7 linked regions of the Danio rerio genome follow. The main gene of each other region encodes a partner of the protein of the gene in region 4 in a complex. Links are inferred from orthologs where the notes say so. Each region holds a gene or a part of one and is shown on either strand. Other genes may lie near its edges.

Evidence for each region.
Region 1: prpf4 (region 4) and usp39 share a complex: the UniProt entries of both Homo sapiens proteins name them as parts of the U4/U6-U5 tri-snRNP complex. The link is inferred for Danio rerio from reciprocal best matches to the Homo sapiens genes PRPF4 and USP39.
Region 2: prpf4 (region 4) and lsm8 share a complex: the UniProt entries of both Homo sapiens proteins name them as parts of the precatalytic spliceosome. The link is inferred for Danio rerio from reciprocal best matches to the Homo sapiens genes PRPF4 and LSM8.
Region 3: prpf4 (region 4) and lsm7 share a complex: the UniProt entries of both Homo sapiens proteins name them as parts of the precatalytic spliceosome. The link is inferred for Danio rerio from reciprocal best matches to the Homo sapiens genes PRPF4 and LSM7.
Region 5: prpf4 (region 4) and lsm5 share a complex: the UniProt entries of both Homo sapiens proteins name them as parts of the precatalytic spliceosome. The link is inferred for Danio rerio from reciprocal best matches to the Homo sapiens genes PRPF4 and LSM5.
Region 6: prpf4 (region 4) and smx5 share a complex: the UniProt entries of both Homo sapiens proteins name them as parts of the precatalytic spliceosome. The link is inferred for Danio rerio from reciprocal best matches to the Homo sapiens genes PRPF4 and LSM2.
Region 7: prpf4 (region 4) and lsm3 share a complex: the UniProt entries of both Homo sapiens proteins name them as parts of the precatalytic spliceosome. The link is inferred for Danio rerio from reciprocal best matches to the Homo sapiens genes PRPF4 and LSM3.

The regions. Positions count from the first base shown.
Region 1 is NC_133180.1:74,861,245-74,865,039, reverse strand, and holds part of usp39 (ubiquitin carboxyl-terminal hydrolase 39), read right to left. Parts: intron 2,268-3,795; coding exon 2,079-2,267; intron 1-2,078.
Region 2 is NC_133179.1:10,099,398-10,103,980, reverse strand, and holds lsm8 (LSM8 homolog, U6 small nuclear RNA associated), read right to left. Parts: upstream 3,019-4,583; 5' UTR 2,859-3,018; coding exon 2,828-2,858; intron 1,338-2,827; coding exon 1,297-1,337; intron 965-1,296; coding exon 837-964; intron 722-836; coding exon 631-721; 3' UTR 456-630; downstream 1-455. UniProt on the Homo sapiens protein: Plays a role in pre-mRNA splicing as component of the U4/U6-U5 tri-snRNP complex that is involved in spliceosome assembly, and as component of the precatalytic spliceosome (spliceosome B complex).
Region 3 is NC_133197.1:10,400,727-10,405,217, forward strand, and holds the start of lsm7 (U6 snRNA-associated Sm-like protein LSm7), read left to right. Parts: upstream 1-1,679; 5' UTR 1,680-1,694; coding exon 1,695-1,700; intron 1,701-1,942; coding exon 1,943-2,033; intron 2,034-2,136; coding exon 2,137-2,208; intron 2,209-4,491. Other genes in the region: sass6 (spindle assembly abnormal protein 6 homolog), read right to left, coding at 653-757, 877-956, 1,046-1,106, 1,257-1,321. UniProt on the Homo sapiens protein: Plays a role in pre-mRNA splicing as component of the U4/U6-U5 tri-snRNP complex that is involved in spliceosome assembly, and as component of the precatalytic spliceosome (spliceosome B complex).
Region 4 is NC_133180.1:62,706,047-62,709,841, forward strand, and holds part of prpf4 (U4/U6 small nuclear ribonucleoprotein Prp4), read left to right. Parts: intron 1-1,496; coding exon 1,497-1,584; intron 1,585-1,680; coding exon 1,681-1,760; intron 1,761-1,843; coding exon 1,844-1,937; intron 1,938-2,036; coding exon 2,037-2,131; intron 2,132-3,396; coding exon 3,397-3,455; intron 3,456-3,572; coding exon 3,573-3,696; intron 3,697-3,769; coding exon 3,770-3,795. UniProt on the Homo sapiens protein: Plays a role in pre-mRNA splicing as component of the U4/U6-U5 tri-snRNP complex that is involved in spliceosome assembly, and as component of the precatalytic spliceosome (spliceosome B complex).
Region 5 is NC_133187.1:13,906,465-13,910,833, forward strand, and holds the start of lsm5 (U6 snRNA-associated Sm-like protein LSm5), read right to left. Parts: upstream 3,084-4,369; 5' UTR 3,002-3,083; coding exon 2,956-3,001; intron 2,194-2,955; coding exon 2,098-2,193; intron 857-2,097; coding exon 829-856; intron 167-828; coding exon 94-166; intron 1-93. UniProt on the Homo sapiens protein: Plays a role in pre-mRNA splicing as component of the U4/U6-U5 tri-snRNP complex that is involved in spliceosome assembly, and as component of the precatalytic spliceosome (spliceosome B complex).
Region 6 is NC_133181.1:30,702,603-30,706,870, reverse strand, and holds smx5 (smx5), read right to left. Parts: upstream 2,962-4,268; 5' UTR 2,886-2,961; coding exon 2,883-2,885; intron 2,467-2,882; coding exon 2,399-2,466; intron 2,287-2,398; coding exon 2,256-2,286; intron 2,164-2,255; coding exon 2,104-2,163; intron 1,242-2,103; coding exon 1,116-1,241; 3' UTR 181-1,115; downstream 1-180. UniProt on the Homo sapiens protein: Plays a role in pre-mRNA splicing as component of the U4/U6-U5 tri-snRNP complex that is involved in spliceosome assembly, and as component of the precatalytic spliceosome (spliceosome B complex).
Region 7 is NC_133197.1:33,572,288-33,576,584, forward strand, and holds the start of lsm3 (U6 snRNA-associated Sm-like protein LSm3), read right to left. Parts: upstream 2,948-4,297; 5' UTR 2,885-2,947; coding exon 2,864-2,884; intron 2,671-2,863; coding exon 2,560-2,670; intron 1-2,559. UniProt on the Homo sapiens protein: Plays a role in pre-mRNA splicing as component of the U4/U6-U5 tri-snRNP complex that is involved in spliceosome assembly, and as component of the precatalytic spliceosome (spliceosome B complex).

The sequences.
Region 1 (3,795 bases), about 12 Mb from region 4:
CCTTATTGTAAAGTGTGAACATTTATTTATACCTTTCTGATTTTACTTTTACCTTCTCGTTTACAAACCCATAAACTTGTGCTTAAAGGGCACCTATGGTGAAAAATCTACTTTTAAAGCTGTTTGGATAGACATGCGTGTAAGTATAGTGTATATACTGTCATATTGGGGTGATATAAACACACCCAGTCCTTTTTTTTTTTAATTTAACAACATAAAAATAGTAGACTAATTGGAGCGGTTTTCAGATCGGCCGCAACTTGATGTAGGAGTGCGGTCCCCCCGCCCACCAATATTGATTGACAGCTGCGCGCATTAACATGTCTCCGTAGAAATCATATCAACAAGACAGGACAAGCGCAAAGCAATTGTGAACAAAAGGTCTGTCCAGTTTGCTAGGATCATCAATCATCATCAAACGTGATCAAGAGTGAGTCTTACAAGTTTGAAATGTTCTAAAACAGTGCATGTGTGTAATGAAGTACAGCGATTCACTTTAGATTCACTTCATCAGCACAGCCACGTGTCAGAACAATTATAAAAGACGCTTCAATCCCAGTTTGTGGACGTTAAACCGGGTTTATTTTGTACACTAACATAACAGATATCCATTCAGCAGTGTATATTAACCTGTACCATGTCACAAATTGTCCGTAGTGTATGTGAGTGATTGTGTGTGGATGTTTCCCAAAGAAGGGTTGCGGCTGGAAGGGCATCCGCTGTGTAAAAACGTGCTGGATGAGTTAGTGGTTCATTCCGCTGTGGCGACCCCGGATTAATAAAGGGACTAAGCCGACAAGAAAATTAATGAATGAACAATAAAAGAATTAATAAATGAACCAAGTCCAGTCCAACTGGACTCAAAAACAAACTTAATGTGCTTGCAGACCTTTAATGTGCACTGCCATGCAGCTTTGACAAACACATACAACTGTGTGTGTGTGTACTTGCCATTAAGCTTGGAAATTTTCTAAATAATTTTTATATATTTCCAGGGTATCTGCAGGATTTTGAAATCAATTTAAAAGTTTAATGACCTTAAAAAGCAAACAAATACAAGTAAAAACCTCATTTAAACCACCGAGAACATAGAAATTAAAATGACTGAACAGCAAATATAATTTCCAAATCATTTGCCAGGGTATCTGCAGGTTTATATTAAGATTTATATTTAAGACCTTTTTAATACCACGCAGAATGAAGTTTAAGACCAACTGTAAAGTTACATTTTTTATAGTACCAAAAAAACAAACAACACAGCTAATTACCATCCTTAACACTCTTTTTACATATAGAATAGTCAAAAAAAATTAGTAGAGAAACTAATAATAATAATTGAGGTGCAGCGGCAATCACCATTCGGGCCGGTCATGACAAAAACCATCCAGTTCCAGTCCCTGGTCAACTGATTGATGCATCTCTAGCTCTTTATTTGCTAATCCATAGGTTGACACAGCTGCTATAGAGTAAAATTTTGATAAAAGTAATATAAAATTGATAAATTAGCGATGCAGTGGCGCAGTAGGTAGTGCTGTCGCCAAGCAGAAAGAAGGTTGCTGGTTCGAGCCTCGGCTGGGTCAGTTGGGGTTTCTGTGGAGTTTGCATGTTCTCCCTGCATTCGCGTGGGTTTCCTCTGGGTGCTCCGGTTTCCCCCACAGTCCAAAGACATGCGGTACAGGTGAATTGGGTAGGCTAAATTGTCCGTAGTGTATGAGTGTGAATGAGTGTGTGTGGATGTTTCCCAGAAATGGGTTGCAGCTGGAAGGGCATCCGCTGCTTAAAACATGTGCTGGATAAGTTAGTGGTTCATTCCGCTGTGGTGACTCCGGATTAATAAAGGGACTAAGCCGACAAGAAAATGAATGAATGAATATGATAAATAAAAATAAAAACAAAATCTTCTTTATGGGGTCAGATCGATTCAATTGCATTTTTAAGACCTTTGAAAAGCAGATTTAAGACGCTTTAAGATTAATTAAGGTCTTATCTTTATACTATGGAATTTAAGACACTTCTGTGAACACCATGACTGACAAACAAGCAAGAAAAACAAACAGACAATTTGCAAAAAATTGCACCTTCTCTGTGTTCCCATTGAACTTTCCCAGGATGTTGAAGAGCGGGACCTGAGGAATGATGAGCTGCTCCTTCTCGTCTTTGTAAAGCGGTGCGGTGGGCAGATCCAGGGTCAGGTAGAGGAAGGTGGACTCCGACATCTCCTCCTGATACTCCTCCTTCAGCAGAAGAGCTTCTTTCTCCTCTGGAGGCTGACAGAAAGAAAACAATTACTCACATGAATGAATGACTTATCCCATTTGGCAAAGAGCTGAAGGCCAAATTATTAGCCCTCCTGTGCAATTTTTATAATTTTTTTGAAAAGTTCACAAGTGATGGTTAAAGGAGAGTTCTTTTCGACACACTGATGACAGTACATAATATTTTTCTAGCTATTTTGCTTTCGTATTTAGCTTGGAGAGCAATTTAAAGAATTTAATTCTGTAGGTCATTAGACAAGAGAGGTTTGTTCTGTAGCCAATTTGGAAAAAATAATAAGTTATTAAGAGGGCCAATAATACTGACCTTAGCAAGTTTTTAAAGGGTCAAGAAACACCAAAACACATTTTTTGAGCTGTTGACAGACGTCTATGTGTCCCACACTGCTAAAAACACTATTAGGACACCTATATTTCACTAAAAACTGTAAATTGGTTGTTTTTGCGTTATTTCAAGCAAATTCGTACTTCCGGTTTGAAACTAATTTTTGAAGCTGCGTCACGGTCATGACATAATAGCCTGTATTCCAGCGTGCAGACTGGACGTCTGTGCCAGAGTGAGTCTTATTACGTCTTACAGTGTGATGCATTAATGCATGAGTAAGGCTTGGTTCAAACCAATCAGCGCGCTCTATTGTGCAACTTCATTAATATTCATTACTGTCACAGTGTTTAGACGACAGAGACGCCACGTTGTGTTGGCAAAACAAGCGTGAAGTGTTGCTTTTATAGTTTGCTGCTGTTAAGTTTTGTTTTCATTTTCTCTCTGTGAGAGCGCAGCTGGAGTCACGTGTGGATTAACAGTGTACGCGACGCTCGACAACAATAACTTACGTGTCTAAGGAGGATTATTGTTTACATGAGAGCTGTTCTCATCTGCAAACGCTGAGATCCGGATTCGCTTGTAGTCTCCTCTTAATAAAGACGCGGCTCTAGTTGCTGTGGATTGTCCTGTCTCTACAGATTTGGTAAGTGAGCGACCAGTGCTATTTGTTTATTCAGTTTGTTCGTATCGAACTAACGGTAACTATTGCACCGAGTGTAAACATGTTAGCACCACAACCAAACTTTAACCTCGTGTAGGATTTTCACCGCATTTAGTGACCGGAATAACACACGCGGCTTTCTGACGCTACCTGCCGTGTGCATCTAAGTTTCCGGGAAATGCGGAGGTTTTTTTTTCTCTCATTCGCCGTGCGGTATCAAACATTGCATGAAAAATACCAGCTTAGAGCAGCTCCTCGAATCAAATATCTCGTTTGTCACGAGGGACATGAATGAATTCCCTGAATGAAAGAGCCAAACTGCAGTTAAAGTCCACCATTTAATAATTTGGCAAATAATTCGACTACAGATGTCCATGTAAACACAGTCACTTTGTCCCCTGTGTGTGTGTGTGTGTGTGTGTGTGTGTGTGTGTGTGTTTTGACTCTGTAAGTCAGCGCGCCCAAATAGACAATCTCACACCATGCCTCTTTACTTCCTTCGACACTCCCCCCTAAACAGAGCTGGACACGCCCAC
Region 2 (4,583 bases), on a different chromosome or scaffold from region 4:
TATATATATATATATATATATATATATATGTGTGTGTGTGTGTGTGTTTATTTTTAAATACATGATTATGTTATAATACAATATTGCACATTATTATATACAATTACTACATTTAAATAACTGTTACAAATTATTTATAATAATATACACTTATATTAATGTCTTTTTTCGTCATTTTTACGATACTGCAATGAGCTTTTCTTTGTGGGAAATAAGCTAAATCGTCATGAATGCAATAAAACAAAATGGGCTTTAAATGCTTTTCAATTTCTTCATGTAATACGGAAATTTCTTTTGACTTTTGGGTGATAAAATAGGCATTTTGGAGATGGACCTAATCTTACTTTTACTGTTAATTTATTACTTTTTTTGTTTTTGACTGAGAATTATCCAGAAAATGGATACTTACCAATATTTTCCCCTTTATACAAGTTTTTAAAAAATTTAAAATCTTGATTTATCACTTTTTGTTTTATTATTTCAACACCCGTAAAAAACAAAACAAACAAAAAACAAATATGCATTCAGTCTTTTTCAAGATTAAAAAAGCAGGTAATATTGCTGCTTATAGATGCCTGCAGATTTCCTAGGGAAAGTTTTCAACTGGATCAAAATGAAATTTTCTGTCCATCAATGCACCACAGAATTGAGTGGTTCTGCTCTTATGTTTCCAAGATCCAGCGCAGAATCGGTTTCTTCATCAATCTCACCGATCACAGCCCTTAAACACAAAATAATTTCCCATTTATGTCAACCAAATAAAAGAAAAAAATCATAAACCTTGCACTGTTCTGCACAACATAAACATAATTACAAGAAAGGAGTTTAATACTCACACATTATCTCCTCTGACAATATACAGTCCCAGAACCACCTGCTCGACCCCCTGTGAAGAGCTGAAGACCCGCTCGTGGCTTTCATCCAGGATGAGGTTGATTGCCTGATCAAAGCCTTTTAGCGTCCCCTAAAAACAGCACAAGTCAGTAAGCGATCTTCTTCATTTCTGCACACAGACAATGATTAATTGGTAAGTTCACCAAAAAACACAGATTTTAATATTAATTTATTCACACTCAGGCTATTCACAATCTAGGGGACTTTTCTCCTCAGTTAAACATAAAAGACATTTAAACAAAACAAAAATACAAATGAAAAATATGTGTCGGAGCTGTGAGTTACAAGTGATAATGTTTAGATTTTCCTAATACAGTCAAACACTCCCAAAGTGTCTTTGACTTGCACTTTATTAAACACAAAGGTGGATAACTCCCTTTAAAGTACACGAGGAAGACTCACCACGATCATTCTGCCATCCGAAGTGACAATAGCAACAGTCCCTTGAAAAAAATCACAGTCAAGGAAATTTCAAGCTCATTTTATGTATGCATGGTCACTCACTGCGTTTATTTGTTCTCTGGATTTGTGTTTATATAGTACACATAATGTGTGTTCAAAATCTCTATTAAGTATTTTATTCATTGACTGATTCATATTCTCTATCTATCTATCTATCTATCTATCTATCTATCTATCTATCTATCTATCTATCTATCTATCTATCTATCTATCTATCTATCTATCTACATGAATACAAATGGTCATGGTCAAGAAATTAAAACTTTTCTAGATTGTTTTACATATATAGATTATATTTATATACAGATTAACATGAATACGAACAATCAAATATACTTATTTTTTACGAAATATTTAAGAAATGAAAATGTTTCTAGATTGTTTTACATTTCTAAATTATATTTATTTATAGATTAACATGAATAAAAACAGTCAAATATGCTTACTTTTAACCAAAAATTAAGAAAAGTTTTCTAGATTGTTTTACATATATGTATTTTATCTATAGATTAACAAATTCAAACAGTCAAATAAACTTATTTTTACCGCAATTTTAAGAAATTAAAACGTTTCTAGGTTGTTTTACATAGATTATATTTATATATAGATTAACATAAATACAAAGGGTCATATATAATTACTTTTAACTAAAATTGAACAAATGAAAACTTTTTTTAGATTGTTGGATTGCATCTATATGTAGACTAACATAAATGCAAATGGTCAAATATACTTAATTTTATGCAAAATTTAAGAAATAAAAACTTTTCTACATTGTTTTACATATATGGATTACATCTATAAATAGATTAACATAAATAAAAATAATCAAATATACTTATTTTTACGAAATATTTCAGAAATTAAAACCTTTGTAGATTGTTTTGCATTTATAAATTAGATTATATGTATTTATAGATTAACATGAATGCAAACGGTCAAATATACTTATATCCAAAATGTAAATTTTTTTTTTTACTTTTCTAGATTGTTTTACATACATAAATTATATCTATATAGATTAACATGAATACAAACAGTCAAATATACTTATTTCTACCCGATATGCAAGATGTGAACACATTAATATGTAATATTTACAGTAAATAGTAATATTCCAGTTATATGATATGTCTTAATTAAATATTTGAAGACTCGTTTTCATTGGTCCAGAAAAAAAAACTCAAATATTTGACAAAAAACAGGCATCTATGAAGTTAATATCACATCCAGATAACCGATAATCATCTTGAACTGATCTATTTTGCTCAAGAAATGTATGTGCGTACATTAATATGCTATAACGTGAATTATAACGACGTATGATCATCAAAAGCTAATTCACTTGCTGGCGCGCCATATATATAAAGTTAGACATTTCACGCTCAAACACACACAATCAACAACAAAACACGGGGTATCGATCAACAACATCACCGCCGTGCTGTTCACGATGCGTATTAAAGGATACGGTGAATGTAACTCTCGAGAGCGGTGGACATCTTTTCTGCTGGTGCGTGTTTTTAAATCCTCCGGTGCTCGTTCGCTAGCTCCTACAACGAAAAGCATTCGTTCTTGAGCCGGAAGCGATAACGGAGAGACTCGAGTAGGCGATGACCGATTGAGCACAACTTCAGGCAGAACTAATGGAGTTGGAGCAACGAAAGCTGTCATGAGTGAATTAGTATTTATTTAATAAGCTTTAAATAACTAGTACGCGACAATAGAACACACATTTTAATGCCAGGGATGATAGAAGATAAATATAGTAAGAGTACAAATAATTAAACATTAATTAAGAAGCAAAACAAACACACGTACATAAAAATAAGCGTATAAATAATTAAATAGATTTCTTACAATTACACACGTTTACATCAATCAAAACTGTTAAAAATAGACCACAAATGGACAGTGCTAATGAAGTTAATTTTATAGTTTAAACAAATTAATGTGAAGTTTAGCCGTCGTGAGGGAGTGATGCGGTATTTGTCCAGCAGATGACGCGCTCTGGAGATTTCTGGTTTCTAAGGAAGAGAGCACAATACTGTTTCTAACGAGTAACTTTAGAGATTATAATCAGTTCTTGCTGAAAAGGCTAACTGTTTGAGGGTCAAAGTGGGGGTCGATGGAAACACTGGTGGTAATGATGACGACGGCACTTACACAAAAGTACAATCAATGGTTGTGGGATGATTTCAGACGCTAATTGTAATTGTACATCGCCATTATGGGAATTAATGCTGATTGAACTATATAAAAGTGCTGTAGTGGTTAAAAATAGTTGTTATACGGTGTTTTGCTACACACTAGCATGGAAAAAATAATTAAAACTTGTTAATATTCGTAAGGTACTGAATGTTTAATAAATTTGATGGAATTGTATGGTGGTTCTGGAATTACGTTGCTATTACATCAGAATCAGGGACTGACCTAACCAATGATGTAATGTAATGTGTATTTATATTATAGATCTTACACCAAAAGCGGTTCACAATCATGAGGGGGGTCTCTCCACACCACCACCAGTGTGCAGCATCACTTGATGATGCGACGGCAGCCACAGGACCACAGTGCCAGTGCGGACACCACACACCAGGTATTGGTGGAGAGACAGTGATAGAGCCAATTCGGTGGATGGGGATGATTGGGAGGCCAGGCCATGATGGGTAAGGGCCAATGGAGGGAATATGGCCAGGACACTAGGGTTACACCCCTACTCTTTACGAGAAGTGCCATGGGATTTTTATTGACCACAGAGAATCAAGACCTGGGTTTAACTTCTCATCTGAAAGATGAAGCAAGCAACCGCTTAGGACCCCAAGAAATTTGGGGGCCCTCAATAATTGCCCACACTGTAAAACGTTTCACATTGGTTAAACTTACAAACTCAAGTTCAGCAGCTGCCTTGAAAATGTGAGGCAACAACTTAGAGAGATTCTTTGTTTCAATGTAAGATGTTGAGTTTTAGTTAAATATATTGTAAAACTCAACATCTTAAGAATCTCTCCAAGTTGAGTTGACTCACATTTTCAAGGCAGCTGCTGAACTTGAGTTTGTAAGTTTAACCAAGTGAAACGTTTTTACAGAAGCGTAAATCATATTTTGAATGGTGATGGTGTAATAAATGAGATTTTAACGTAATTATACCATCTACACAGATTTGTTTTACACACCTAATCATAGAGCAGTCCACCAGTCAAGATAAAGATTCAGTTTCAGAAACA
Region 3 (4,491 bases), on a different chromosome or scaffold from region 4:
CAGCAATAAACAACACTTTAAAATATAAGTAGTTTTCATGTGATTTATTAAACTAGTAGTGTTTTAAAATGAATGAATGCATAATAATCCTAATCTCGATTGAAATTGTGATTATTCCTCAGACTGTAATCGTACGATCAACATTTATAATCGTTGCATCCCTGCTCTCGATGTGCTTTTAGCTTTGATTTTTGTGCAAAATAACAAAAAATTAACATTACAAAAAACATGTTAGTGTCCATTTTAACCATACAAGAGTAAAATTCTTAAACCGTTTATTGCTATTATTATTTTTAATATTAAGAAATGCTTAAATGACATTATTTGATTTGAAATTTAGAAGAAAAAAAGAAATGTTTTCAAACATGTACAGACAAATACAAATATAGAGTTTTCAAGGGGTCTCTTTATTTTTTCCCATAGATAGATAGATAGTTAGATAGATATTTATAAAATTTTATATAAGTTTCATTTCAAAAAGTTTATATTTTTGAAATAAACACCAAACAGTATTAATATTTGACTCAGTGAAGAACCAATAAGAAATTTTTGTCCTGAGGTTGACTAAATCATCAGTAATTATTGACTTTAGCCTGTCTATCACTTTAACAACTGCAACATCTGAACATTATTATGAATTATAACCTCTTACCGTGGGTTTTCTTTGTCCTGTTCGCAAATGCACTGTTCAAGTAAGTCTATAAATTTTTGTGGGAATGATGTGAAGTCTATTAAAAGCCCTTGTTGTACTTTTAAGCTGTGAAGAAGAGCAAATAAAAACGATTACACAGAATATAATCACATAGAAGCCTAATAGCAAAGTGTTGAAAATAAATATGGCTCATTGATGAAATGACACTTTTAATACCACAATACCTTTGAAAATCCTCCTCTGATATGATAAGGTTGTATAAAAAGTAAAGATCAGTATCATCAGTCAGCCGTACAACTAAATCCTGTTGATCAAAAATTTAAAAAAAGTTATAAGACCACATAAAACATGCTTAAAGGCATAAATATGGTTGTACACATGTTAATAACAAACCTTTCTGTGAACAGGGCTGGATGGTAACTGCAGTTCAATGCTAACGCGAATAACCGAACGCCTGTAGTAACAAAAACAACATATATAAACACATATAGACCCTTACAGACTTCGAAATGTTAATAATTACAGACAAAATAAAGCCAAAATTCATACCATAAATCAATTTAAGTTAGGCATTGTGTTCAAAAACAAGACAATCAACACAAACCTCTCATCGGTATCTTTACTCTTCACCAGCACCTGCAACCGCTTGTTAAAAAGTAATTCCGTCATTCCTAATTCATTCACAAAGCAACGATAATAATTAAAAATCGTGTAATCCTGTTTTAAAGATGTTATTTAGGTTGTTGAAAGACTCATTTGTTTTTCGCGCTTCACTCCCGCGTTTGTCCGTTTCCAACCGGAAGTGAGAAACACTTCAACCTAATCACGCGTATCATCGTATTTCAACATGTTTTTGTTTTTATAAATCGTATAATATAGATATAAACATTTAAAGCTGTATATACTGTGTAGTTGTGCGTGAATAAAGCTGATAAAATTGAAAACATTTGATATCAGAGTTCACCTGCGCGCGTTGTGATTGGCCGAGAGGTAGACGTCAAACGTGAACCCGGAGTGGGCGGGGCGTAGAGGAGTTTTGAACATGGCGGTGAGTAGCGCAAACGTTTCCACACCGTTCACATTATAAACACTTTTAAGGACAAACGGCGTTATAAACAAACATATAAGCACCTGAATATATCCTACACTCTTGATATTTATGTTGTTACACATTAGGGTGTGCTGGTAATTGTAAATGTGATGTGTGGTGTATTTTTGTGCTAAGCTACGAGTCTGATATTTATTATAGAGGCCTGGAGATTGTTATATAATATGTTTTTGGATCCTCAGGACAAAGACAAGAAAAAGAAGGAGAGTATTTTTGATTTGTCGAAATACATCGACAAACATATACGTGTAAAGTTTCAAGGAGGTCGCGAAGGTGAGGGAGTTGCTTTATGAAATTAATTATGAATTTAAATGTTTCACATTATGATATTTAAATGAATTGTGGTAAATTTGACACTAGTGTTTCCTATTTTCAGCAAGTGGCGTCTTAAAAGGCTTCGACCCGTTGTTGAATCTTGTGTTGGACGGCACCATTGAATACATGCGAGGTAAAATGTGCTAATGTAAACCGAATATGTACCAAATTATGTTCTGCATTAAATTTCTCACAGTATTAATGTTAGTGTGGTTTGTTTTGAACAAATTTTAGTGTAAATGCTGCAATTTAAATTATAAAATTAATCAATTTATTAAATTATAAATTATATAAAGCAACATACAAACTCTTGTGGGTTGACTGATATATAAATGCATCTAAATCAACCCAAAGAGGACATGATGCCATGATATTAAACATAAAAAGGCAGAATGCTCCAGCATAGCTATTTTTGTCAGCATAACAATGTTGCTCCTTACCGTTCAGTTCAGGCATCAGAAACAGTCTCAGCAGATCTTCATTTGGGTGTGTGTGAGCCAGAGGAAATTCTGGTGTTGGTTTGACACATTTAATATGGTTTTCTGAGAGAGTTTAAATGCACTTGAAGTTAAATAGTTCACCCTAAAAAAATGAATACTGTCATTGTTAGGCATGGGCTGGTATAAGATTCTGACGGTTGATAACCTTAGGTTGAAATATCACAGTTACACAATATCATGTTATTGTACATACTGCTCCAAAATATTTTATTTTTAAATGTCTGAGTAAAAAAAAAACTTTTCCCCCATTGAACATGGTTTATATTTTTTAACATTTAAAATATTTTGAAACTATAATGTCAGGCTAAATAATTTATTGTTTATTAATTGTTGAATGTCATTGACTTCTGCTGTCTTAATTAGTTTCAAAAGCACAGATTTCTTTTCAACTTGAAAAGGCATCTTTGGATATCTTTCTTTTCTTTGGATATAAAAAAAATCATCTACACTGTTCAGCTCTACAGCATGCTGGATGTTGGTTTATAAGAGATTTGTTTTTCAGATGTTTCCTGAATCATGGTAACTTGTGATGTGGATGGTCCTTTTCTATTGTTGCCCAAAAAAACTCAATAAAATAGTCGTAAAAAAAAAACTTACAAATACCTTGAGAACGGTATAACAGACAATTTTAACGTTTTTAAAACCTTGACTTTTCAAACCGCGATAAACCTTAAAACAGTTATTGTCCCACGCCTAGTCATTGAATACTCACCCTTTATATGTTTCAAACCTTTTTGAGTTTCTTTCTTCTGTTAAACACAAAAGAAGATATTTTGAAAAATGCTGAAATCTAGTAGTGAAACGGTTAGTTTTCGGATAAACTATAACTAAAAAAAAAACAACAACAGGTAAATAGAAAAACACAGATTGAGAAAGCTGAGACACATATTCCTGAATGTGATAATATGCACCGAAATGTGTCGGGGGACCTGAAAATGTAATGAACCCGACCCTCTGCTTCCTGTTTAGAGGTGGTGGTGTTGTCAAAGAGCTGAGTGTTTTACTTTAACGTCCTAGTTGTATGATTCCCTGGTGTTTGGATAATTTTAGCTTTAAATGCTGACAACACCACTGTCTCTAAAAAGAAAGCTGCCCCAAAGGTCCCCCAAAACATTTCTATGTGCATATTTTGGAAGTTGCATTCACGTTACTAAACTAATGACGATTAATTCTCAGTTTGTAAGTGTTTTTCTATTTGCATGTTTACACTGCATTTGTCCTCTCTAGGGCACCGTATTTAACTGATTAAAAAATGTGTGCATGCACATACAGCAAACAAGTGTATCTAAACATACAGAATTGTTTTGAAAATTTAAAGTCACAGAATCCACCGCGGTGACTGAAGCTCTGCACATGACTTTTGGTCAGCGGAGAAATTAAAATGGTCGTGCCCAACTGAGTCTGGTTCTCTCAAGGTTTTTTTTCTTCACTCCTATCAGGTGAAGTTTTTTTCCCCTCTCCGCTGTCGCCACTGGCTCGCATGGTTCAGGATTGGTAGAGCTACGCATTGATGAATTTGCTCTTCAGTGTTTGAACTCTCAGTAATGATTTTAAATCACACTGAACTGAGCTAAACTGAACTGAACTGAACTTAAACACTAAAATCTGAACTACACTGTTCCGGTTACTATGACCATTAATGTGAAGCTGCTTTGACACAATCTACATTGTAAAAGCGCTATACAAATAAAGCTGAATAAGCTGAATTGAATGTCATAAATGCAGCTGCTTTTCTGTCAAAAATCAGAGTATGAAAGCTTGACAAACTAGGACTATGTATAATTTTTTTGTTTGGTCCAAACAAACTGACTAAACTACAAGTGTTAACACATCCGAAAATACGAAAAAACCCCGCCCTAAGAGTAAAGACATCTGTGTTTGACTATTATCATTATATCAATGGTTTTATATGATTT
Region 4 (3,795 bases):
CTGAGGGGTGTATCAGTACATGTATTCATCCTGAACTACCCCAATACAATGGTCACTGTTCTGTTCCCATGCTCCCTTGACGAATACATTCAGTCCAGATGTGCAGTGACTGTTAAGGCAGTGCAACAACTGAGCAAGACATTCACAAAGAATGCATCTTAGTGTTTAAAAACACGACACATTAGCACTCACTAAAGTTCTTCTGATTGGTCCACTGCTCTAAATCTGACAGCATGTGTGACAAATAAGCGCTACCTCGGGTAACTCAAATTCGTTTTATCGTCACACTGCTTCAAAGCAGCCGATGCTGCAAAAAAACTCCACTAATACGGTCACTTATGTCCGTAAACAATGAAAATATAAGATACAGTCTCATCATGTGAGCTTGTAAGTCAGTCTTTAAGTAATGCGTGACTTCTCTATACACACATAGTATTGAACATCTGTAACTGCTTTATGGATGTACACAGTGCTGCATTTTCCTTAAACGAGATTTCACTTTTGAAGTTTACTGAATCTTACCTTTAATACATAATTATTGTTTTTCCTGAATTTGATTTGTAAATTATACATTTCTTATTAGTTTCCTAATTATAAAGGTTTATACTTATACTAATTCTAAAAATACATTTATTTTGTACTTTTGCATCACAAGAAGCTCTTCAGTTCTGTAGCTGTTTATGCCAAATACTTCTGCCTGTTTAAAATAAACAGAAAAGACACAAACTGGAAATTTGTTATTACTTTTTGTTGTAACATACACTCCTACCCCCAAAAACCAAGGGACATACTGAACCTTGACTCCAGTGTACCGTTACACTATGTAGTCTTTATGAAATCCGTTTAAGTTTTTACTAAATTCTATTTTTCCTAATGTTTTTTTTAATAAACATATTTTAGTAACCAAAAAGCAAAGTTAATTGAAATTTTGATTTGTTTTTATTTAAAAAGTTTAATATAGAACACTTTTTGACTTTTAGCTAACCAATGAAATAGGTTTTACTTTTTTTTCTTCTAACGTTCCATTTTATTTCTGTTAAAATTAATACCTGCTTTAAAAAAGTAAGCATTTCTTTAAAATAGTTATTATTAGGATTGCTGCTTTGAGAAGTACATTCAACTACAAAAATAATTTATTTCTGTCATCATTTATTTAAGAAAAACCAAAATTGTATTTAGTTTTGTGGCTGATTTATCACTGCCACTTCTCCACACCACACTGAAGAGGTGTACAGCAGAACTTTGGATTTATTCATCAACAATTTCCAAATCAGTGACATCATCTTTTTACTAAACTATTTCCAATTTATTCACTGAATTGCCCTATTCCATCATCTTCCATCATTTGGGACATTCCATCAATGTCCCAAATTAAAGGACAAAACCTACTTAATCTGTTTTATCTGTTCAGGCTAATATCCATTACAGAGAGTTCAGTTTAATTCAGGTGTTTATTATTATTATTCTTAGTTTTCTTTGTTTTCTTCTTTACACAGATTGAGAAACGTTCTTTCAGTACTTGGTCCTGATGCCTTAAAGAAATCCAAGAAAGAGGATGAAAAAGCAAAACGCACTCATGAAGAGGTAGGAGCATCTGCTTTAGTAGATGTTTCACTTTATTATAGACTAATTTATTTGTATAAAAAACGTAAGGTGATTGTATATGCATATTTTGTGCAGTATCAACAGACATGGTACCATGAAGGACCTACATCTCTGAAGGAAGCGCGTTTGTGGTTAGCCAAGTATTCACTGCCTAGGTAAACTCTGAAACTGTTTTCCATCAGCAGTATAAATATTATTATAATAATTTAAAATTTGGAATTGTTGTTTTGTTTTGCAGAGCTGTGAAACGTTTAGACGCAGCAAGAGCCCAAAAAGAAATTCCAGAATCTACACGAACAATTAAACAGCAAGAGCTTCACAAGAACTTGCGGGTACGACAGCATGTCAAAAAAATGAAAAAAAAAATCTATATTTGTCTTGTCACTGCTGTGTATAAATTTGTTTTTATAAATGTAATTTGTTTTATTTAGAATGTAAATAACTTCTGCAGCCAGATCGGAGACGACCGTCCAATATCTTACTGCCAGTTTAGCCCCAACTCAAAGCTGCTTGTGACGGCATCATGGTATGTGCTGTATATCAGTTTTGTATTTAATTTAGTACATTATTATAAAAATTCTGTATTATTTATCTAAATTTTGGGGCTAAAAATAAGGACTTCAAAAATGCTTAATTGCTGCTTTAATACAGCAGAACAAAGAGAATATAGTTAGTATTTTTTTTTCTCAGAAGGAAAATTTGTATTGGAAATACTGTGGGAATTTTCCTTGCCCTGCTCTTGCCTATACATGTACGTTTAAAAAAAAAAAATTCTAGCAACTTAAATGTGAAAATTTTTTTTTTCATTTTGTTAATTAACTAAACGTTATTTGTTTTTAAAGACTTTTAGGTTTGGTTTGATTAAAACAAACTAGTACTATTGCTCCATTGGTGCAATTAATTTAAAAAGGCTTGAATGCTTCCCGTTGAACACTGTCCTGTGCCAAACTAGTGGATCAACATTAACTTTTTCAGCACATCTAAAAGAACACTGACCAAATATGTCTAATAGAGATGTGCGGTTTAGCTGAAATGACACCAGAATCCACAGCTTCATACTAATCATCCACCCGCCTGCACATATACTTTTACCTGATATATGTATCTGGACCCGACTCGCACCCAGTCTTCAATTAAATAATTTATTTCTTTGTTTTAGGCATGATGATAGGTCAACAAGGATATTAACAGCAGATTCAGTGAGCTAATCTGCGCATCTCTGATAGTAAAATAATATGTTAATCTTAAACGTTTTTAAATGAACATTTATTTATGAAAACAAAAGTTTGTCTTTTAGACAACATTTTCCTCATTTTTTTAAAAAAGATACAGAAAGTAAAAATAAGACATTTTAGCTTTTACAGATACAGGAACAAGATAACAAAAAGGGTGTCACTTCAGCCTAAACGACGGCTATGTTATGTTTACTTATCTACTATGCCTGGATTTGGGCGATTCCGCCTCACCTTCAAAACCAACACAGAGCAAGCGTTTGCTCGCAGATATAAAACACAAAATGCCACCATGAAAAGGACATAATAATAAAGCAGCTTTTACCTCGCATAGTTTGCCTAATTTTAATACTGGCATTAGAAATGAGTCTTAATTAAACCTCAATGCAGCACACAGCATTGTTTTGTATGTTTCTTGCTGTTGTTGGTTTTTTTTGTATATCTTCGGTTCAGTATTAAAATACGAATAGAAATGTGAATGCTAAAACATGGCTAAATGTATCATTTTGCACCAAACAAACAGAGCTGAACTTGTATTTATAAGACATTTCTGTTGTAGGTCGGGCTTGTGTAAATTGTGGAAGGTCCCCGATTGTACTCTTATACGCACATTAAGAGGTAAATACAGCAAATATATTCTGTAATGTTTATTCATCAAGTTGTCTGTTTGTGTTCTAGTTTTTGAGGAGCAGCTTGTAGCGTTGTATTAATCGTTGGTGAACCCTTCCTCTTCAGGTCACAATACCAATGTGGGAGCGATTAGCTTTCACCCACAAGCCACACTAACACTTGAGGAGTCAGATGTCAATATGGCCTCTTGTGCTGCAGATGGATCTGTTAAGCTGTGGAGTTTAGACAGGTGTGTATCTTTTAGGATTATGTAAATCTGTTATCTGAAGGAAAACTGTAACATTCACCTGTTTTTTTAATAGTGATGAACCTATAGCAGACATTGAGG
Region 5 (4,369 bases), on a different chromosome or scaffold from region 4:
AAAATAATGAAAAAAAATTAAAATGACATTAAAGCAAATATTGTTTGCTGGTGCATGCATGAGATTACTTGCAGATGAACTTATTTGTCATACCATTGTGATGTTATTGCCATTAAGGAGAATCTGATCCAGTTTTGTGATTCTTCTTCCCTCTGGTGTGATTTCACTGTGATACAAACACACAAGCCCGAGATGAGGAAATATTTAATACCAAGTGTTCAAAAATGTAACCTACATCTATAAATTCTTGTGAAAATACTTCATAATCCAATTTTCCTTGCATCTTGAATACATGAGTGTACACTTCACATTCAAGTACACTTCACATTCAATTGATTTTTTTTTTTTTTTAATCAATGATAATACTTGGAATTATTCTTTAATAATAATGTCACAAAATATTAAACGGTTTCAATAGTGATAAAAATTTGCTAATACCATTGAACTTCTAACTAAGCATACTTTAAAAAAAGTTTCTAAAAAGATTAGAAAATGCCTTCTCTATGCAGTATAGTTTATAGAATAATTAGAATACAGTATAAATAGTCTAATGGTATAAAACTTGAGCTTTAGTTAATCTCTAGAACGAAAGTGCTTTTTTTATTGATAGTTTATCCTAATAAAACAAACACCTAAAATTTTGGAGACAGGATACTGATCGTTTGAAACTCGAACAGCATTTAGAACAATAGAAGGTTGAGTAAATGTTGACAATTAAAATTTTTGAGGGAACTATCCTTTAAGTCAAAGCAGAAGAGAATGCATGAATACACTGTGCAAAGACAATTAAGCAAATATTTAATATTTTTGTTTAGGAAATATACTTACAATTCTGTGACATCCTCTAGGACCATGTCTGATGTAAAGCATCAAGGAAATGTACAACATCGCAAAGATAACATTACATAGACATTTACATTTCTCTGTTGACAACATGTGATGTAGTGTATTGTATTTTTTTATTTAATGCCATGTCAGCAATGCAAGGCTATTTTCATGGCAAGAACATTTCAATAATAAATATACAATTAAAAAACAAAAACAAATGAATACATAAATTAAATACATCTTTAAATGCTAATACATTTTTTTATAATTTTTTTACTATTTTCCAGGTGTCATTTTGCTAAAAATGTCCTGAAGAGACATCATTTGATAAAAAAAAAAAAAAAGCCTTCTGGAATTGTTAAAAGCAGGACAATCCAGTAAAATCTGTTTTACTGTAAAAGAAAGTGTGATGTGCAAATATTGAGCAGGGTCTTCACATTTGAGCAAAAAAAAAAAGCATGGATCATTCTTGCATGTCCAATACAACATCTAGTAAAAATCACTAAATCAAATTTAGTCTTAAAATGACTAAAAATTCAGTTTGAGATTTCAGGTTGTATTTCATACAGTTTATTATTTCTCAATGCATCCTACTCCTCTTGCCACTTATTTAAAAAGTAAACGTTGATAAAAGATTTCATCTCTAAAAGAGGAATTTGGCATTCGTTCACAACTTATTTCAAAGCATCCTTAGCTGCTGGATCAAGCTCGCTCGTTTCCTGAAAGCCCAACATGTCCCGGAACCCAGCAAAAAAAAAAAAAAAAAAATATGAAAAAAAATGGTTTTGTAAATGGTGAACTTTAGTTATAATATCATTAATCAAAGGATGATCATTTTCTGAAGATTCCATCACTTGGAGGCATGATTTGGAGTCTGTAAATATGATAGAGTTCTTTTGTTGGACATTTTCTTATATTAAAATGCTAAAACTAAAGCACAGGCTAATGAACATTCTTTAGGCAGACTGATTCCACAACGTTGTTGTTCAGTAACCATTGCTGCCGTTATGCCATTTTCCACCCTGGAAGAGCAACCGCTGCGTAAAACATATGCTAAATAAGTTGGCGAGTCATTCCGCTGTGGCGACCCCAGATTAATAAACGGACTAAGGGAAATAAAGGGAAATCTTATGTGTAACTATATCTTTAGCTAGCAGTATTTATAAAAAAAAAAAAAAAAAAAAAGTTGAATCCAAAACTAAATTGTAAACATCACAAATATTTGACAGTGTTTTGTTTATTTTTTTACCGCCAGTAGGTAAAGGATACTGACAAAGTCGTCAAACCCAAGCAGAGTTCCCACAATCTCTTTATCGTTCTTCATAACGATGTGAATCCGAGAGCCAATGCACTTATCCACCAGCTCTGAAAGACAGCACACAATCCCCATCATAAACACAGTCACATCATTGGCTGTTAAAGGAAACATTTTGAGTGGTCAGTGTGATATACAACTGTAAAACCTTGTAAAGAAATTCAATTTATGTTAAACGTTACTTCAACAACTATACAGCCAAGGTAAGTTTTTAACGAACCACGTTTAATAAAATTTAAAATTTCTTTGGCTTTAACACTAGGTGTGGGATTGAGTAATATGTTAATACCAAATTCATTCTTTAAAGTACTAATTTTAGGCTTATTTGACTCAACAACAAAAAAATCCTGCGAGTAAAGAGTGGAGTGGCTTTTAATCATTTGACACGGTATCTCTAATGTCGTAACTCATACATAAAATTTTATTTTCAGAGTATCTTACTTATAAATACATCTTAATGGAAATTGTTAATGATAAATGTGTTCCCAAGTCATAATTACAATATTTTAAACTCCAACAGAGGGAAACATATTAGTGATTTATTTTTTTCGCCCACACTAACTAAATGAACTGGCTTCCGTTTATATATAATCAATCACACATTGATGTATAAATTTGTGAAATTAAATATTTAAGTTAAAATAAAAACACATTGACATGATTAGGGCCACATCTTTTGTGCACAGGTGTATTCAATTAGATAAAAAAGCAAAGTGAGTTACGAACGTGACTGATTGGCATCTCTGCCCCGTACAAAAACACAAAAGTTATGTCAGTAAATGATAAGCAATTTTAAAGAAAGTGAAACAAACCGAGTGGTAAAAGCTGCGAAGGATTCGTTGCTGTGATTGCCGCCATTTTGATAACAGACCTGAATAATCGGGACCGGAAGCCAATTACAAGCATGGATAATCGATATCAGCACACATCGATAGCATCTTCTTCTTCTTCTTCTTTCTGTTTTATGGCGACTAACAATTAAAAGCATTATCGCCACCTACTGTACCGAATCTTACTCCGATGAAAGGGCAACAAAAAGAAACGAGGAGGGAGGGAAAGGGGGGAAAAAAACACCTTGGATGTTTCATATTGTCCAATCTTTGCATCTAGACCACATACTCATGTCAGCACTGCGTGTTCAGCTCCTCTAACATAAAGGGCCTTTATGACAATGATTGAGAATACTCTCATCCATAAATATAAGACTATAATAACCTAAATCCGAATACTCTATATACCTAATAAACGCTCTATATACTTGCCAATCTATTATACCTTTTCCTAGAATAATTTTATATATTGTTTTATCTTCCCCACACTGACTGAATAACATATTGCGATGTTTATTATATTTGCTACATATAAATAGTGCATAATCCACATTTTCAGTTACACCACATACATCACATTTCCCATCCTCATGTAAACCCATTAACGCAAGTGTTGCATTTAACCCTGTGTGTCCCAATCTTAATCTTGATAACCACACCTCTTCCTTCCTATTTCTTCCTTGATTTAGTGTTGTCCCTACTGTCTGTATAATACTATAGTGCCATCTTCCAGTATTACTATTATCCCATCTAATTTGCCATTTATTTATTAGTTTTTCCTTTAAAATCGATTTTGCCTCTCTTTTCCCCAGAGGTACATTTACTTCCTCTTGCTTATTTAGTGCTTCCTTTGCTAATTTGTCAGCAACTTCATTACCAGATACCCCAATATGTGATGGAACCCAGCAGAAATAAACGACTACTCCTATTTCCTTTAATCTATATAAAGATAAATAGATTTCTGTTATTAAATCCTCTCTATCTGATTTTGAGTTTGCTATACTAACTAAGGCTGAAGATGAATCTGAACAGATTACTACTTTGTTTACATCGATAGCATGAGAGGGGCTTGGCTTTTTGTACAGCCTGTGGCTGTAACATTAGAGCAGTGTTACCCAAGTTTTTTCTTTTAAAGGGCATGTCAGTCAGTCAAAATGTTGCATCATATAGGCTACCAAACTGTATGTCACAGTAATTTGTCACGGTAATTTGGAGTTTTATAGCTTGATTATAGCTTGATTAATTTTTCCATCTCCCAGTATCTCCTCTCTGATGGAATGACGGACCAAATCGGAAACCAAAACACAGAACACAGTACACTTCCACAATAGGTTTCCATTTTTTGTAAAACTTGACAATACTGTAACTGTTCCACTTCCAGAGTAAAAAAAAATCA
Region 6 (4,268 bases), on a different chromosome or scaffold from region 4:
ATGAATATTTAATAAATTACATACATTGTAAAAACGACAACAAATGTTTTCATTACTTTCCTTTTTTAAGTTAATCAGTTTAACTTAACATATTTGTCATTTGACTTATAGAAATGTAGATGACAATTTATTTTGAACTAAAACACCTAAACATATTTTTGTAGTGTGGTCTACATTCGCTTTGATAAAGCCATGATTACTTTATTAGCGCATAAAAGTGCCTAAAAAACACAAAACAAAGGCACTGGTATATTTTAGGAACAGTAACTACGAGTTTCTTTTACTCTAAACAACTTACTTTTTTGTTTGGGACTAGGCTGTAAACTACAGGTGTCAAATTCAGTTCCTGGGGGGGCTGCAGCTCTGCACTGTTTAGTTCAGTTTAAGTAAGCACAACCAGATTAAAGTAATTAAATCTTTCGGGCTTCTTTGAAACCCAACCCTGCTCCAATACACTTGGAACTGAACTGTGCAGGGCTGCAGCACTCCAGGAATTGAGTTTGACACCTCTGCTAAACTATCCATTCACCTTAACCCAAGGGTGTCCAAACTCAATCTTGGAGGGCCGGTGTCCTGGAGATTTTAGCTCCAACCTGCCTCAACACATCTGCAATTATGTTTTTAGTAAGAGCTTGATTAGCTAGCCCTGGTGTGTCTGATTGGGTATGGAACTAAACTTTGCAGGACACCAGCCCTACAGGACCGAGTTTGGACATGCCTGCCTAAACCAAAACACCAGCATTCCACGAACATAATTTGTAAAATGCTGTCAGCTGAACTCCAACAATGGACGATTTTTTCCACCAAAAGGAAAGTGTGAAAACAGAGGAAAATACTTTATTTTTGCATCAATGTGTGAACCTAACTAAAAGTCATTGGTATGCAGTACAGAACTTTACCAACACTCATTAAAAGCACACAACCACTAACTTGTGAAGTAAAAAAAAAAAAACAGTAAATCACACCCTCAATAACAGGCTTCACATGACGTAAAAATGAAAGAGAAAAAAAAAACTTTACATGTTTTAGGTAAGAAAAACATTTAAATCAACAAAACTCCACAGATGATGCTTCTGAACATTGGAACAAAACCAAACTATTCTCAAATATAAACATTATTGTTTCTGTTGTGTAGCTTCTTTGCGTGCAGCATCCTGTAGTAGCTGTGTGTCCACTTCATCTGCAGGAAGCTGAACGTATCGCACCACTGATCCACGAATGAAGCAGTTCTTCACAGACAACTACAACAAAACAATATTAGAGTCATCTATATACACCAAAGTTCTCCTTGTTGAGCACCTACATCACTATGACAATTCATAAATCACAGACTTAATAACCTGATCTACATTAATTTAGGAATCAATTCAATTATCAGGGTTCCCTCTTTAACCCTTTAGCTGCCTGCTCTATCAAATGGTTGACCGTATTTTCACCGTTTTAAATAATGGTTTTCACTACACAGCATTGTTGGTTTACAAAAAAAAATCCTGTTGCAATTCTACACTTGCTTTCTAGTTAGTTTTTTTGACAATAAAACCAAAGCAATGTTATATGAGAATCTGAAAATATTTTATTGCATATTTCAAAAAATAAAGATGACTTAGTATTCAAAAAAAAATTTTATTTTGAATATTCTTTAAAATAAATTGGTCCTACACTTGCTATTTTCAGATTTTTCATAGTATTAATTTCTGTACTTTTACCATAAACCAATATATCAACCATGACATGAACATAACAGGCTTCTGTAGTGCTTATAAAAAATTGTAATATTAAATTAAAAATATATTGAAATGGTTTTAGCCATTTTATTACATTCATTTAATAGCCACTATGAGAACAACAAATGATAATTTACTTAATATAAAAAAAAAATACTTGCGGTTTGCATGGCTGTAAATATCAAATATATTTTAATAAAGAAAAGCTAAAATGTAAAGTAACAAACAAAAAATCCCTGTTATTCCATGAATCTGACAAAAATATATCAACATTTCCTAAATTTCAATGTCTGAAATGAACCTTTTAAAATTCCATGACATTGATAAAGATATTAGACCCAAGATTATGAGTGTAATTTTCATTTCATCCATTTCTCACCATGTGCGGATATTTCTCTGGATCAGTAACACTGATATCTGTCAGTTTGATGTTCAGGTACTGTGAGGGAAGAACAAATGACAAGATTAACTTAATCCTAAATCGCCCAATATTTGTTTATATTAATAAACGTGTGGAGTCAGTTTCCGTACCTGATCAACTGAATGTAATGTTCCACATATGCTGCAAAATAGATGTGTTCATAGTTTTACGAGCTGGCACATACATTATAAAATATGTATATTCAATTTCTAATTATATATATAATATTTGTAAAAGAAAGGTGAGCACTCACCTCAAGTCATTCTTGAGCTCCACCACAACATCTTTGCCAACCAAAGACTTGAAAAACGAGTAGAAGAGCTGAGAATAAACATTTGAAGGAATTACTCTCAAAATATGAGGCGGACAGCAAATAAGACATCGATAAAACGATTGAATCAAGTTTTATCAACAGACCAAATGAGAAATGTCAACAGCAAATAACACTGCTTTCTAAATTACGCAGGCAAATGAAATACCAAGACTTTAATATAATAGGAGTCAGCCAGAGTTGTTTCTGTTGGGCATTTAATTAAGGGGATAATCCTTGCTTGAGAATGTTGTTTTATTTGGCTATGAAGAAAGCTAGCGTTAGCTGTTAGCATGAAGCATTGTTTGTCTTTCTCGCGAACACAGTGGTCAAAAAAACCTAAATATGTTAAACAAATGGTCGTAGCACGTTTATTAATTCCTTAAACGTAAATTACTGTATGATATTGCTAAATAACAACACTTACCATTTTCACGCGGCTTTGTGCTTTAGATCACATACGTCATCAAAAAGCTGCCGGGTCTTTCACTCTGTGCTTCTATTGGCTAGAAGAATGAAGACGTAAAAATCCCATTGGTCGCGAAATTGTTGGCGTTTTGTTCTGTTTTTGCGTCATTTGTACTCATCTCAGTAAATTATTCCGCAATCGTTCATCACACAAAAGAGATTAAAAGGCGCATGTTCAATGGATGTGAAATATTTTCTTAAAACAGTCAACTTTATGCCCGAAGAGGTACATGACATGTCTGACACAGAGCTTGCTGATACACGTACATGGCTCCTCTTTTCTGGCAATTCCCTCTTTCGTCAGCAGATGGAGACAAATAATAATAAAGCACAGTCCAGGGCTCAGGTTAATCCTCTGCGTTATCCCCATTTATAAAACAAAAAAGCAGTCCACTTACAAAACGCTATATTGTAAAACAAAACAAAACCTCCACGACATGCTAATGATTATAATGTTTTTCACGATTATGTATTTATGTGCATCCAAAAAATGTAAATTCAGCCAATTTAATCAATTTACTTGTTTAAAACCATCTTGATCTTTCCATATTTTGAAGAACGTTGGGAACCTGTAACCATTGACTTTAATAGTATGACAAACAAATACTATGAATGTCAGTGCTTACAAGTTTTCAACATTTCTGAAAATAAAAATGGATTTTGGATTCTCTATAATTTAAAGATAAATGTTCCTAAACATATAGAGCCTTCTTATAACATTATGCTTTAATATGCATTCTCCTGTTTTTAAAAGCAAGCATTCTGAAAATTACCTAGAATGAATATAAGCAGGGATGGGCAGTATTTATGATAGGGTTGATGGAAATGGCTTAATGTTTTGTATTAAAAATACATTAATGTCTTTTATTTTTGTAGTTTAAAATATTGTAAAATACTTTGATGCTAAATGTTTGTCACTGAAACAAACAACATAACAATAAGTCCTACAATAAGTCCTACAAAAGGGACTAAGCCGAAAAGACAATGAATGAATAAATGAGTGGCGATTCCGATGCTGTTTCAAATGCCAGTAGTTGATCTGCAGATGCACTGTACTGTTAATGAAAAAGAAAGATGTACTGTATGCCTAAACATGTAAAAGTGACAACATGAGAAACGCACATTTAATAATTAAAAACTTCTGACAGGTTATACAGAAGGAACATGATATAATATATGAAAAGTTTATTTGCAAAAAAAGATAATTTTTTGAAAGTTTCAGAAATCATGTTTTTACACTGAGTATTAAAGAATCAGTTTAATGGTGAAGGGACTGATCAAATGGGCTTATTAATGAAAGGTTTGCCAACAAATATCATGTTCCTATTTAAAAATATTTTGTAGA
Region 7 (4,297 bases), on a different chromosome or scaffold from region 4:
GGTTTCTAAAACAAAATCTGTCAGGGTTATCTTTCTCATCTTCAGCGCTTTACAATTTTCGCGGTAGTAGCCCTCTCTGTCGTCCGAAGCCAGAAGGCGACTGAGTGATTAACAGCTGATATTAACCAATCATTCGCATTCAGTGCTAGAGCAGTGGTGGGCCAATAAGAAGAGCGCAAAGGCAGGGCAAGCATTACGGACTTGGATTTGTTTACTGCAACAAGTTGACATGATAACTGTTTTAAACCATTCCCGAGCGCTGCATTTTTGCAGACAAAGAGCAGACAAACTGGTTGCACACAACAATTTTAAGCTCTCGCAGAAATGCTCCCAAATATATTTTAAGGTCGCATAGATAAAATTTCGGGCGCATATGCGACCAAAATAGTCGCAATTTCGAGCCCTGTTAATGCAAATATGGTAAATAAAAGAAAATAAATATTTAAAGAAATGAATATTAAAATAATAAAAGTATATTTATGTCAACATTTATCCTTTTTGGTTGTGCTGTTTAATTCACACAAAGGAAGTTGTATTCAGTACATTTTTGGTCATCCATAAGTTTATTTACCTCTGTAAAATACAAAACATTTACATTTTTCTGATCCCTTATCTCTGTGATTTGTTATTAAAATCAAACAGATTTTTCAATATACTGTTCATATATACATACGTACTGTTAAAATAACACATTAGAACTGCTGTAGACTATTAGTTTAGACTTGTATTTTAGATCTAAATACAATTACAATATAAATATTATTTTAATCCTCTGTATGTTTCCTTTCTTTTACTAAACACTTTACATACTACACTAATGCGTGTAGTCAATTATTAGGATAAAACATTTGATTATTACATTTTAATAGATTTTATCAATTCACTTTTACATGTTTTTATCCTTTATTTTCTCCAAAAAATCCACAGACCAAATTCATGTGACTTTAATAACAGAACATAATACATTTAGAGACATAATTGAACTTGAGTCTGTATAAAATGTAGTATTTTCCCTCAAGGGCAGAATAACTAGAGCAGTGGTTCTCAAACGTTTTTCATCAAGTACCACCTCAGAAAAAAATTGTCTCTCCAAGTACCACCAAAATGAGCAGTATTGAGATACAATAGCCTTGTAGGCCCAGTAAAGCAGCTACAACTCTGCACAGTTAAAAAAACGTGGCAGATTACATGAGAAATATAGGCTATATGTCATATGACATTATATACATCATTTTTATCAATTTTGAAATGTGTGTAGCATGTACATGACATATTTTATTCCTCCACGTACCACTAGAAGGAAGCCTGCGTACCACTAGTGGTACACGTACCACAGTTTGAGAACCACTGAACTAGAGTATATAATATGTACAATGTGGTAGTTTCTCTCATGTGCAGTATAAATAGAGTATATAATAACTACAATGTAGTATTTTCCCTCACATGCAGTATAACTAGAGTATATAATATTTATATAAGTATTTTCCCTCATGTGCAGTTGTAGTTTAATTAGTATATATATATATATATATATATATATATATATATATATATATATATATATATATATATATATATATATAAATAGTATTCCCAGAGATGGGTTGCGGCTGGAAATGCATCTGCTGTCTAAAAACTTGCTGGATAAGTTGGCGGTTCATTCCGCTGTGGCGACCCCGGATTAATAAAGGGACTAAGCCGACTAGAAAATGAATGAATGAACATAAATATAATAATGATAAATATAATATGCCTAATGTTTGCCTCAGGTGCAGGATAACTAGAGTATAATCTGTTTAATTTAGTTTTTTCTCTCAAGCGCAGTCTAACTAGAGCAGGGGTGGCCAATCCTGTTCCTGGAGATCTACCTTTGCTTTGTTTGAAACAATATTTTTTGTCATTATTAGTGCAAACTTATATGAGCGATTATATCATTAAATGTGGAGGGGGGCCTAACAATATTTTCCAGGGAAAAAGGGGGTCTCAGGCAAAAAAAGGTTGGGAACCAGTGAACTAGAGTATATACTAAAGTAGTATTTCTCCCGCACATGCAGTCTAACTATAATATTTAATGTTTAATTTAGAATTTTCCCTCACGTGAAGGCTAACAATATATCTATAAAAGTACTTTACCTCAAGTGCAATTTAATAATGTTTAATGCAGCATTTTCCCTCACATGCAGATTAACTAGAGTCTATAATATGTTTAATGTAGTATTTTCCCTCACGTGCAGTATAACTGTATAATGTTTAATGTAGTATGTTCCCTCACGTGCAGTATAATTAGTGTAACTTATATATACACAATGTAACTTAGTATTTTCTTGCACGTGCAATGTAACTAACTTTATGTAACATTATATAATGGTTAATGTAGTATTTTGAATCAGGTTTAGTATAACGTTATATAATATGCTTAAGGTTGTATTTTTTCCAATAACGTACAGTAGAAACGTGTATTTAATGTAGTATTTTCCCCTCGTATGCAGTATATTATGTGGCATTTCCCTCACGTGCAGTATAACTAACTTAGAGTATGTAATGTAGTATTCCCCTCACATGCAGTCTGCCACGCAGTTCTCTGTCATTCCTCATCTTTACATAGATCCTCTCATCCAGACTGAGCCGAATCAGATCCAGAGGCTCTTCTACGGTGTTGGTGGTCTGTTGCTGTAAAGTAAATTTCAGTGATGTATTTTATTTGAATGAAAATGTCCATGCAAACAATCGTCGTAGTTACAAGCTGCTTTAGCATAGGCTACCCGTGTGTTCAACTAGTTAAAAATAAACACAATTAATACGATTAACCTCCGCGATAATCAAACAGCTAACGAAATATTTATACAAAGCAAAAATTGCAAACCTGCTCAGCGTCGTCCGCCATCTTTCAAATCTACCCAGAATGCATTTTCCGTTTCTCTCGCGAACAAATCATTAGACGGAAAATGCATCTGCTTCCTGTTAGACATAGATATATACGTTAGATGTCGCCTACCCTGTTGTTGTCTATTGGAAGGAATGCGTCAATAGATCCACCATGTTAGTACAGGGAACCGCTCCTTTGAAATGAATGCAAGCTGTGACCATCCAAAGCCAAAGATATACACATAGGCTATGATCGGGAGTTTTCCCGGATGTCACTGTGCAATTATTTATTTATTTATTTTTTTTAAATTACGAAAATTATAATTTTTCATCCCTTTTCTACATTGATGGATCAGTGATCGCACAGACATTCCTGAAAAAAGCTTGTGTTTGTGAGTATGGAAGTACTATTCCCCCTCCCTGTTAGATTTGAAACACATCTCCTCCTGCTTCCTTTAAATTCCGCATTTTCATATCTGGGAAAGCCCATCTCACATTTCCTGCAAAGGAAAATTAGACAATTTAGTTGTATAGTGAAAGTTGTGAGGCTGATCATCTGGATTGCATTGTTATCAAGAGTAGGCTATTTGGTGTTTATTTATATGCAATTTTGCATATGAAATTGCAACTTTATCAATTAGGCAATGTTGGGGTCACATCAGTCCAACCTTTAACAAAACAGTCACAACTGGACTTGATTTGGTTGCTTTATATGTGTAAAAAAAAAAAAGAAAAAAAAAACTTATGGTGTTTGAGGTCAAACTGACCACACTGAAAAAAAATGAGAAAAGTGGAAAAAAAATTAAGATTATTTTTTTTAAATGAATTTTAAACCCATTATAAATTTTAAAAAGTTTAACATTTCTGCAAAGGCCTGGGTCTAGAGCACAAATAAAAATTGGAAACAAAAACTTTCTGAATATTAAAATTTTCTAAATATTTTCTTTTGCATGTCACACAACATGACAGTAAATTATTATAATATTTCTTTAAGAAATAAATAACAAGTTTAGCTTGCTGCACTTGAAATTCAACTAAAAGCAAATGCTGAGAATGTGTGACAGTCAGTTAAATATATATATATATATATATATATATATATATATATATATATATATATATATATATATATATATATATATATATATATATATATTAAAAAATAGATGCAGTAACCTGTGCCTGTGTTGCTATTCAGTTATGTAGATCGACTGTGTAAGCTGAGAAAATATTTTATAGCCTACCATTCCTTCTAACGCTGAAGGACTACTGAGACATTCAAGCATGGGATGGGTCCTAAAGCATCAAGAAGTAAAAGCTGAAATGAATAGATGCATAAGGACCCCTGCTGGATATATGTGGAAACTGCAGCTTTTTCCCTCGTAACCTCAGATGACATCATTTTATTTCTAAAGTATAAAACAATATGCAG